2 linked regions of the Arabidopsis thaliana genome follow. The protein of the gene in region 1 interacts with the protein of each later gene in a pairwise test. Each region holds a gene or a part of one and is shown in the gene's direction. Other genes may lie near its edges.

Evidence for each region. Proteins that work in one complex are often made in the same cells at the same time.
Region 2: the proteins of GRL (region 1) and RPS6 come close enough for resonance energy transfer, tested with the Arabidopsis thaliana proteins (one study listed by BioGRID).

What each region holds. Positions count from the first base shown.
Region 1 is NC_003071.7:14,800,812-14,805,569, reverse strand, and holds the start of GRL (transcription activator), read left to right. Parts: upstream 1-1,719; 5' UTR 1,720-1,810; intron 1,811-2,025; 5' UTR 2,026-2,044; coding exon 2,045-2,446; intron 2,447-2,539; coding exon 2,540-2,614; intron 2,615-2,994; coding exon 2,995-3,075; intron 3,076-3,282; coding exon 3,283-3,363; intron 3,364-3,477; coding exon 3,478-3,560; intron 3,561-3,655; coding exon 3,656-3,740; intron 3,741-3,826; coding exon 3,827-3,952; intron 3,953-4,086; coding exon 4,087-4,194; intron 4,195-4,488; coding exon 4,489-4,758. UniProt on the Arabidopsis thaliana protein: Involved in regulation of actin and microtubule organization. Part of a WAVE complex that activates the Arp2/3 complex.
Region 2 is NC_003075.7:15,345,449-15,349,867, reverse strand, and holds RPS6 (ribosomal protein S6), read left to right. Parts: upstream 1-2,063; 5' UTR 2,064-2,153; coding exon 2,154-2,159; exon of another isoform or gene 2,160-2,169; intron 2,170-2,245; coding exon 2,246-2,310; intron 2,311-2,579; coding exon 2,580-2,637; intron 2,638-2,735; coding exon 2,736-2,844; intron 2,845-2,953; coding exon 2,954-3,226; intron 3,227-3,320; coding exon 3,321-3,562; 3' UTR 3,563-3,889; downstream 3,890-4,419. Other genes in the region: GLR2.4 (glutamate receptor 2.4), read right to left, coding at 417-747. UniProt on the Arabidopsis thaliana protein: Component of the 40S small ribosomal subunit. Plays an important role in controlling cell growth and proliferation through the selective translation of particular classes of mRNA.

The sequences.
Region 1 (4,758 bases):
CAACTCCTTTGGAGGGACCAAATCAAATGCTACTGGACCACCATCCATCTATTTATAAACAATTGTACACCGGATTGGTAATGTTCATACTATATAAGATAACATGTTGACAAGAAAAATGCTTCTCTTCAGATGGACCTTACCTCCGTAGGTCTAGGCACGGCAGCAACTACACTTGTAGACTCTTGAATTAATTTGGAGTTCAGTAAAATAACTGCCCAGTCCTGAGATGAAGAAATTGGAATCCAAGATAATAGCCGAGTACAAAGAAGAAGCTAATGGAAGATTCATGCGAATAAAGAATATAGGTTCGGTCATATTGTAGCAACCGTGTGAAAACCGTTTTTTTGTTATTTTCTGGTTCATAGGGACCTCAAAAGATAATGTGAAAGGAAACAAAATCTGTGATGCAATGATATGTGCACAGAGGGAAAAGATTTTGGAATCATTGTTGCTTATTGTGAAGGCCAAGCTTGTTTAGCCACAGTTGTCCAACAAAGTTACAAGATGTGCCTTGTAATACAATATTCCTGCGTTGTCAACCCTACTTTATTATATGAAGTTGTTTTTGTGTGTCATGGTTTCCACTAATTTACTTATTAATTTGATTGTTTGATTGTTTTCTATTAGTAAAAAAGTAATATCAACATTATGATTAAATTCTCAAATCAAATAATTATGTTGAAAAGATGAAATGCTTGGATAGCACTGAGCTTTGGACACGCAACAAAAAGTGAGGGAGGGGCAAATTCATCATCAGAAACGTCAGAAACATTATTTATTAGTCGAATCATACTAAAGTTTAACACAGTAATTCTAAAATAATTGACAATTATTACACCTAAAAGCTACTCCATATGTAGAGATAATGATAATTATATACTACAAGTTAGTATTTGTCGACGTCAATATTGTTCTCTTGGTTAATTGTTTTTAAATATTAAAAATTACCGGTTAAGGGACTTGTTCTCATTTTGTCAAAGCTTCGAAAACTTACATTTCAACCACCCAACTAGAACGTTTGTTCTTTTTCTAACAGAAATTTTCCTTTTAAATACTAAAAATAGTACTTACTACATAATATACCAAATACTTTTTTCTATTTTAGCTATCCTCATTATTGAAATAGATGTCGTAGATTTGAATTTACCTTCTGTTAATGTACATATGATAAAAGAACATTGGTTTGTTATGCTAAAATCTCAATAGTTGGAGCTAATCCTATAGTTTTGCTAAAAAAAACTTGTAATCCAAATAACTACAATCAAACCAAAACAACACATGATTTGAAATATCATTTTTTCTAGTGAAAAAATGTTGTCTTGCACTGCTCAAATTCAAGTAGACAATTCCGATTCAATATAACTAAAAATCTCATATTTTATTAAAATTTTATAAACAATTTATTTTTTGAAAGGGATAAACACTTTCAGCTGTTCAATTGTTCATAATTTTCTTCTACTTACATTGTTTCGTTTCCTATGGAAATGTTTAGATTTACAGGTAAAAAGTAAAAAATGTGCTTGAGCAAGAAAAGAGTAAAAAAAAATAAAAAAATCTGCATTTTAGTTGAAAACGAAAGAAATTCTACTGACTAATTTTGTCTTAAATGAGAGAGACCCGAATTTAGCAACTCTTTATTTCTCGGCTCACACACTCCGATTAAGCCCGACGCTCTCTCTCCTCTTTGTCGTCGTCATCATCGTCTCCGGAGTAGGTTGCAGAAATTCAGATCTGAACTCTCAGACGAAGCTCCGATCTTACTGAGACATTTTTGCTCGATTTGACTTTCGCCTTTAAAGCTTCTCAGGTAACTTTCAATCTTCACGAGACTCTTGCTTGACTTGGTTTTAGCTCCTTGTTTGGTTGCTGGGAAATTGACGAGGGGATATCTATTCTCACTCGTCACTCGTTGTTGAGTATTACTGGGTTTTTGGAAGATGAATGCAAGAGTAGAGAGCTAAGTAAATTATGTTGGACGAGATTGTGTAACGTGATTTTGAAATACATTTTCCTTTATTGTAGAGATTATTGTACTGAATTAATGGCGAATTCTCGTCAATATTATCCATCTCAAGATGAATCAATGTCCCCGACTTCTGTGAGATCAAGGGAATGGGAAGGTCCTTCCAGATGGACTGAGTACTTGGGACCTGAAATGGCTGCATCAGTGTCTTCTACTAGGAGCTCTAAGCAAATTGATGGACATGTTGGTGGTTCCACAAAGGCTTTGAACATACAATGGGTAGTTCAAATGATTGAGGTTGCTGACGGTCTCATGGCTAAAATGTATAGACTGAATCAAATCTTGGAGTATCCTGATCCTGTTGGCCATGTATTCTCTGAAGCATTTTGGAAAGCGGGTGTCTTCCCTAACCATCCACGGATATGCACTTTGCTCTCTAAAAAGTTCCCTGAGCATTTCAGCAAATTGCAACTTGAACGTGTAAGTCATGAGTTCTTTTTTTATTAGACTTACTGTTTGATTTGTTGATCTGATGGTAAATGAAAAAAGATTTATTCTGCAATACTTATGCAGATTGATAAGTTTTCACTGGATAGCTTGCATGATGGTGCTGAACTTCACTTACAGAGCTTAGAGCCATGGATACAGGTAATAAGAAACTATCTATGTAATATGTTGTTGGGTTTACGTTCTGTTGTTGTGAAACTTGTTGTTCGAGAATGGTGAAGCATCTCGGAAGTCCTACATGCTATATAGTCAATCTTTCTATTAGTTTTCTTTGTGTACCTAGTCAATCTTCAATCTTCAGTCTGCTATATAGTCAATATTCAATCTTCTATTCCATCTCACCATTAGTCAGCTTTATATATCTGGGCATGCATATATGATTTACCTAATACATGGTTTTAACTTTTAAAATGTAAACGAGTAGTTATTTGCTAGCCTTCTTTCCTTAGTTCGTGTGTAGCATTTCAGTAAGGGGTGCCTTCATAGTCCTCTCGTCATGCATTTTTCTTTTCTTGAATCAGCTGCTGCTCGACTTGATGGCATTTCGAGAACAGGCACTGCGGCTTATATTGGACCTAAGCAGCACTGTAATTACCTTGCTGGTGAGTCAAAGTCTCTCATCTGCGGAAAGTATTTACTTGCTCTGGGTTGAAACTTTGAGCTTTCTTTTGAACTCGTACCTTAGGTGGAGGTCATGAAATGTTTTGGTACATTAAGTTATTATTTACTTGTCAAAAATGTCTGTGAGGATGAAGATAAAATTGTTGAGTATTCATGATTAGCTCATAACTTAGTTCAGCTTTTTGCAGCCTCATCAGAACTCACTTATTCTGCATGCATTCATGGATCTCTTTTGTGCATTTGTCCGAGTCAATCTCTTCGCAGAGAAGGTATGCTGAGCTTGTTCCTTTTCTTAGTTCTTTGTTTATTTGGATTGATTACACATGTCATGTGAGACATTACATTATTATCAATATGTAAGAGTGTTTATTTTATCAAAGTAGATTCCTAGGAAAATGTTGTTGCAAGTCTACAACCTTCTGCATGCGCTATCAAGAAATGATCGAGACTGTGACTTTTATCACCGGTATGGATGTTTTTTTCCTTGTAGTATCATTTTTAATTTGTATATAATCAATAGACTCTGATATCATATATTAACACTCCTCGTCTTGCATCCAGCTTGGTGCAATTCATAGACTCTTATGATCCCCCATTGAAAGGCTTACAAGAAGATTTGAATTTTGTCAGCCCAAGGATTGGAGAGGTTAATATTTTATTCAAATCACGGGTATCCTACGAGCTAATATTGCAACTGATACAGCAGTACTAACAACGTTACTATTTTCCTAGGTCCTGGAGGCTGTAGGACCCAGTATTTTTCTATCTGCAGATACGAGGAAGTTGAGAAATGAGGGATTTTTAAGCCCATATCATCCTAGATTCCCAGATATACTTACAAATTCTGCTCATCCCATGGTACGAACGGCTAGATTATTATCAACATAAAAGCTTAGGATTCTCAGAATTAGTAGGATGCTATTGTCTTTCCCTTACAACTCTACTTCGATGTATAGTGCTAATATTAGATAATACACTCTTGGTTCCTACAGAGAGCGCAAGATCTTGCAAATGTTACTTCGTACCGAGAGTGGGTGCTTCTTGGATATCTCGTTTGCCCCGACGAGCTTCTTCGTGTTACTAGCATTGATATCGCCCTGGTATGAATCTGTTTTTCATTTTGTTCTCGATTGTGATCTTGATAAAGAAGTTTTTCCTCCAAGGATTCTATCTTGAAAACTATCTTATCTGGTCAATAATAGGTTCTATAAATTTGTTTCACAAATCAGAAATTTTCTGCCTCTCTCTGCCTTTGTTTGTAAAATGTTAAGTGCTTTCATTTTCAGTGTTTGTTTAACTTAAGATTAGTAATGGAGTTAGGTTTTTGATGCTCAAAACAAATCAAGATTGCGTGTAATTCGTGCTGTCTCTAATACTGTCCTGTTGTATTTCAGGTCGTGCTAAAGGAAAACTTAGTCGTGACGTTATTCCGGGATGAGGTGAGTTTATATCAAATGGTCTGCGAAAAAGAGTTTGGTATTGGAATTAGTTTTGCATCAGCTGACTCTATTAATCTAACTATGCAGTACATTCTGTTGCACGAAGACTACCAGTTGTATGTTTTACCCCGAGTGTTAGAATCAAAGAAGATGGCTAAGTCTGGACGGACTAAACAAAAGGAAGCTGATCTAGAATATAGTGTAGCAAAACAAGTTGAGAAAATG
Region 2 (4,419 bases), on another chromosome or scaffold:
GATTGTGCGGTTGTTGATGAAAAACAGGGATTATGCTTTTTGGAGAGAAAACATGATTCTAAAATATCTAATTTTTCATACTGAATTAAAAAACGAACAACCCTATATTTCATATTCTCAAATTTATCCTTCCAGCCAGGAACATGTTACACGTGTGCATATATGATGCGCATAATTAGTGTGAATAAGGCCACATATGATACGCATATATGATCAGTTGTTCCAAAAAACAATATTAGCGGTTGCATGAACGAGAAAACAGAACCCACAAGGACAATTCACATTTCTTGAGCTATACTATATATAGTTAGTATAACGTGGAAACGGAAAAAATAATCACAAACGAAATTTTTTGCTTTCATTTGCGTTTCACGTTTACTTATAGAAACAATCGAATCATTAAAGACAGAACATACCAGCCGCTGCAGCGCCAACAACATCGTCTCTAGAGTCGGCAAAGTTAAGAAGAAGCCTGGTCCGAGATTCTGGACGAGAAGAGTAAAAGTCTGAGAGAGACATGTTAATGGCGAGCAAGCTCAAGTTGGAGGCAGTTGTCCCAACATCAGTCACAACCCCAACATTAATTACTTGGATTGTCGTATTCTGTCCCTTCCCCAATTTCACGCCGAAGATAAAAACGAGAAACACTAAGACGACGTCGTTGAGATGTCTCTTCATTTTTCTTTTGTTTTTGGTTTTGGTTAAGTACCGTGGAATGTATACATCTTGAAAATATTTTGAACTCATATTTATAAATGGATAAGATTTAACGCCAAAAGGTGTTTGGTTCGAAGAAGTTTTTGTTTTTAGAAGTAAATTATACATATTAACGACCCTTTCTGCTAATGACGTAATATAAAAGTTACATTTCCATAAGAAACATTCTTTTCTTTTTTGTTTAATTGAAGATATAAATCCTTACATCATCTCTTGTCAAAAACCAGCATACAATAAAGTACTTATCTTATTAAACTATTAAATAACTAATAATATGGTTGAAATTTTAACAAAATAGGTTTTTATTAATTAACCAGTACTGGACTAACGTACCTTTGCAAAATTAACTTTTTTTCCATTTTAACTTGACAAGGGCATTATTGGACCTCCCTACACACGCATGCATTTACATAGTAGACGTTATAACTCCCATGTTAACATATTAAACTCATATCATATGTTATATGTGCCACAAATTAAATCTCTGCTCAAGTGGCCGCAAATTTCAGTATCTCATATTTTCTGTTCTAACTTAAAAGTTAACACGGTTACTTTTCATTCCTCGGTCTCAAGTCTTTCGTGATCCATCCAGTTTTGTATAAAAACACAAAAGTAACAAAATTATAGATGCAGCAAGTCGCGGGTAGTGGTGAAAAATAAGTTTCATCAGTAAAACTAAATAAAGAAAGCATATATATATGCCTTTTGTAAGTGATATCATGCAACCCCGTTTCTGATTAACTAATATTACAGAACTAGATGTAAAAAGAGAAGACAAATATATTTTACTTATCTAACATACAGTTTTTAAGTTTTGATATAAGAAAAACATTGTTTAATTAACAAGACGAATGTAGTAGTAAAAGACATTGCAGTAAGGCGTAACCACGTAGTATTCATTCACCATCACCCGTGACCCGAAACATTTTATTTTATATCGTTGAAATGACTTGGTTTGTAAGGAAGAGAGATAGTCAAACAACAAAAAGAAAGAATTAGTCAGATATCGTACTCCCGGAAAAGAAAATAAAAAACGATTCCGTGATTGAAACAGGTTGCTTAAGAGAATAATCATTGGCAGAAATTTGTTTAACACGAACTTTTTTAATCAAGGCCAAGTTGCAAAAAAAGGTCAAACAAAATTACACATTATTTTGAGGAGAAAAGGTTTATATATATATATTTTTTATTTTTTTTTGAACACGGAAGGTTTATATATATATATATATATATGTATCAAATTTTCTTCAAAATAAACTAATGCTATGTTTTTTCTGTTTGAAATTATTATTTCATGAATTTAGGAAGAAGAAAATGATAAAAGGGCCATCGGGCCCATAATCGCAGAAAACGGCCCATATAAATCCACCAAACGAATCTTCTCTCTTGGTATAAATATGCTGTCTTGCGTTACAGAGAAACCCTAGACGTCGAAGATGAAGGTGCGTGACGGCGAAATCGAATAGACTCTACATTTGCTCGTATTCGAGTTTCCTTTGCTAACCTTTTTCATGTTTCTTCGTTTCAGTTCAACGTTGCGAATCCAACTACTGGATGCCAGAAGAAGCTCGAGATCGACGATGACCAGAAACTGTAAGATTTTGCTTCTCTGTTTCATCTTCATTCATTTTTAATAGATATTTCGTGCTAGGTTGCCAGATCTATTGATTGGTGTTTGTATATATCACTGTTAAATTGATAGGTCTAGTAAACAGTAATTGTCAATTTTTCTATGTTCGTCTTATAAGCTTAATAAGAGTTAGAATCTTCTTCTATGTTTAATACTTACATTAAAATAAGTTTCGTATCTGCTCATAAACATATCTGGATTATATTATTCAGCTTGATTTATGTTGATGCAGACGTGCGTTTTACGACAAGAGAATCTCTCAAGAAGTCAGTGGAGATGCTTTGGGCGAGGTACAGATTCCATTTTTCTTACTTTGATCTAATGAGTGTGAAGATTAGCATTTCGAAGCAGATGATGATGTTTTGTTTATGAATTGTTGTTATTGCAGGAGTTCAAAGGATACGTTTTCAAGATCAAGGGTGGTTGCGATAAGCAAGGTTTCCCAATGAAGCAGGGAGTTTTGACTCCAGGCCGTGTTCGCCTTTTGCTTCACCGAGGTAACTAAACATAATACCTTTTCTTACACTTTTGCATCTATAATGGATTTGTATTTGTGTGTGTGTGTGTTTTGCTGTAGATTAACATTGTTTCGTAATGGGTGAACAGGAACTCCTTGCTTCAGAGGACATGGAAGGAGAACTGGTGAGAGGAGAAGAAAGTCTGTTCGTGGTTGCATTGTGAGCCCTGATCTCTCTGTTCTGAACCTTGTCATTGTGAAGAAGGGTGAGAACGATCTTCCTGGGCTTACCGATACTGAGAAGCCAAGAATGAGAGGACCAAAGAGAGCCTCCAAGATCCGTAAACTGTTTAACCTCAAGAAGGAAGATGATGTCAGGACCTATGTCAACACTTACCGCCGCAAGTTCACAAACAAGAAGGGTGAGACACTGAACTTGAGAAATAGTGGTTTCTGAATCACACTTGAGAAATAATGTTTTCTGAAACTTGTTTCTTCTGTTTGGATTTTTGACAGGCAAGGAAGTTAGCAAAGCCCCTAAGATCCAGAGGCTTGTGACCCCATTGACTCTTCAGAGGAAGAGAGCTAGAATTGCTGACAAGAAGAAGAAAATTGCTAAGGCTAATTCTGATGCTGCTGATTACCAGAAGCTTCTCGCCTCGAGGTTGAAGGAACAGCGTGACAGGAGGAGTGAGAGTTTGGCAAAGAAGAGGTCGAGACTCTCTTCTGCTGCTGCCAAGCCCTCTGTCACAGCTTAAAAAAGCTTGAGAATCAAATCAAAGATGTCACCTTTCTAGTTTTGTTCTCTTTTCTTCTCCGGCTATTAAAAAGTTAGTTCGAGTTCATATTCAGCTGTTTTTGTTCCAAGACATGGGTACACAATCGCTTTGGGCTTGTTTCATGATTTATGCTTTTAGTTGAAGACCATTTTAAACTCAATTTTTATTGCTTATCTTTCTCAGTTTTTGATCAAAGCGTTTCTCCATTGAAAACCATTTTAATCACCTGTTTCAATCATACATAATGTTAAACACATGTACTGGCGATTACAATAGGTATATATTTTGACTGAAATTTATGGAGCATTGTATGACGGTTTGATAAATTTCTGAGAAAACTCATTCTTAAGTTTTAAGATTATCTCAACAACTGGTGAATCAAAACTGTGATGTGTGGTTTGGGCCAAACGACCCATAAACGAGTTCAACTTAACAGAGAAAGAACAAAAACAATTATATATGTTGACAGAGAGAGGTAACACAGCAAAGGGGTGGTGGCGCAGTTGGCTAGCGCGTAGGTCTCATAGCTATTGAGTGATCCTGAGGTCGAGAGTTCGAGCCTCTCTCACCCCATATATTTTTGTCCTCTTCAAACTAACCTTAAACTCACGTTTCTCCTTTTTTCCTTGTCACACTGAAACTGAATCGTTTTTTTTTCTTTGTCGACTGATGATATATCTAGATAAAGAGTTTCAGAAAGCCAATTACAAAAGCATCAAAAACACAACCATGATGCTCTAACCAAAGCAGCCAAACTTACAGGCTTAAACAACAAGCCAATATACAAGATCACAAAAAAAAAAAAAAGAAATCTCGTTAGGCTATCTTTTGTGATT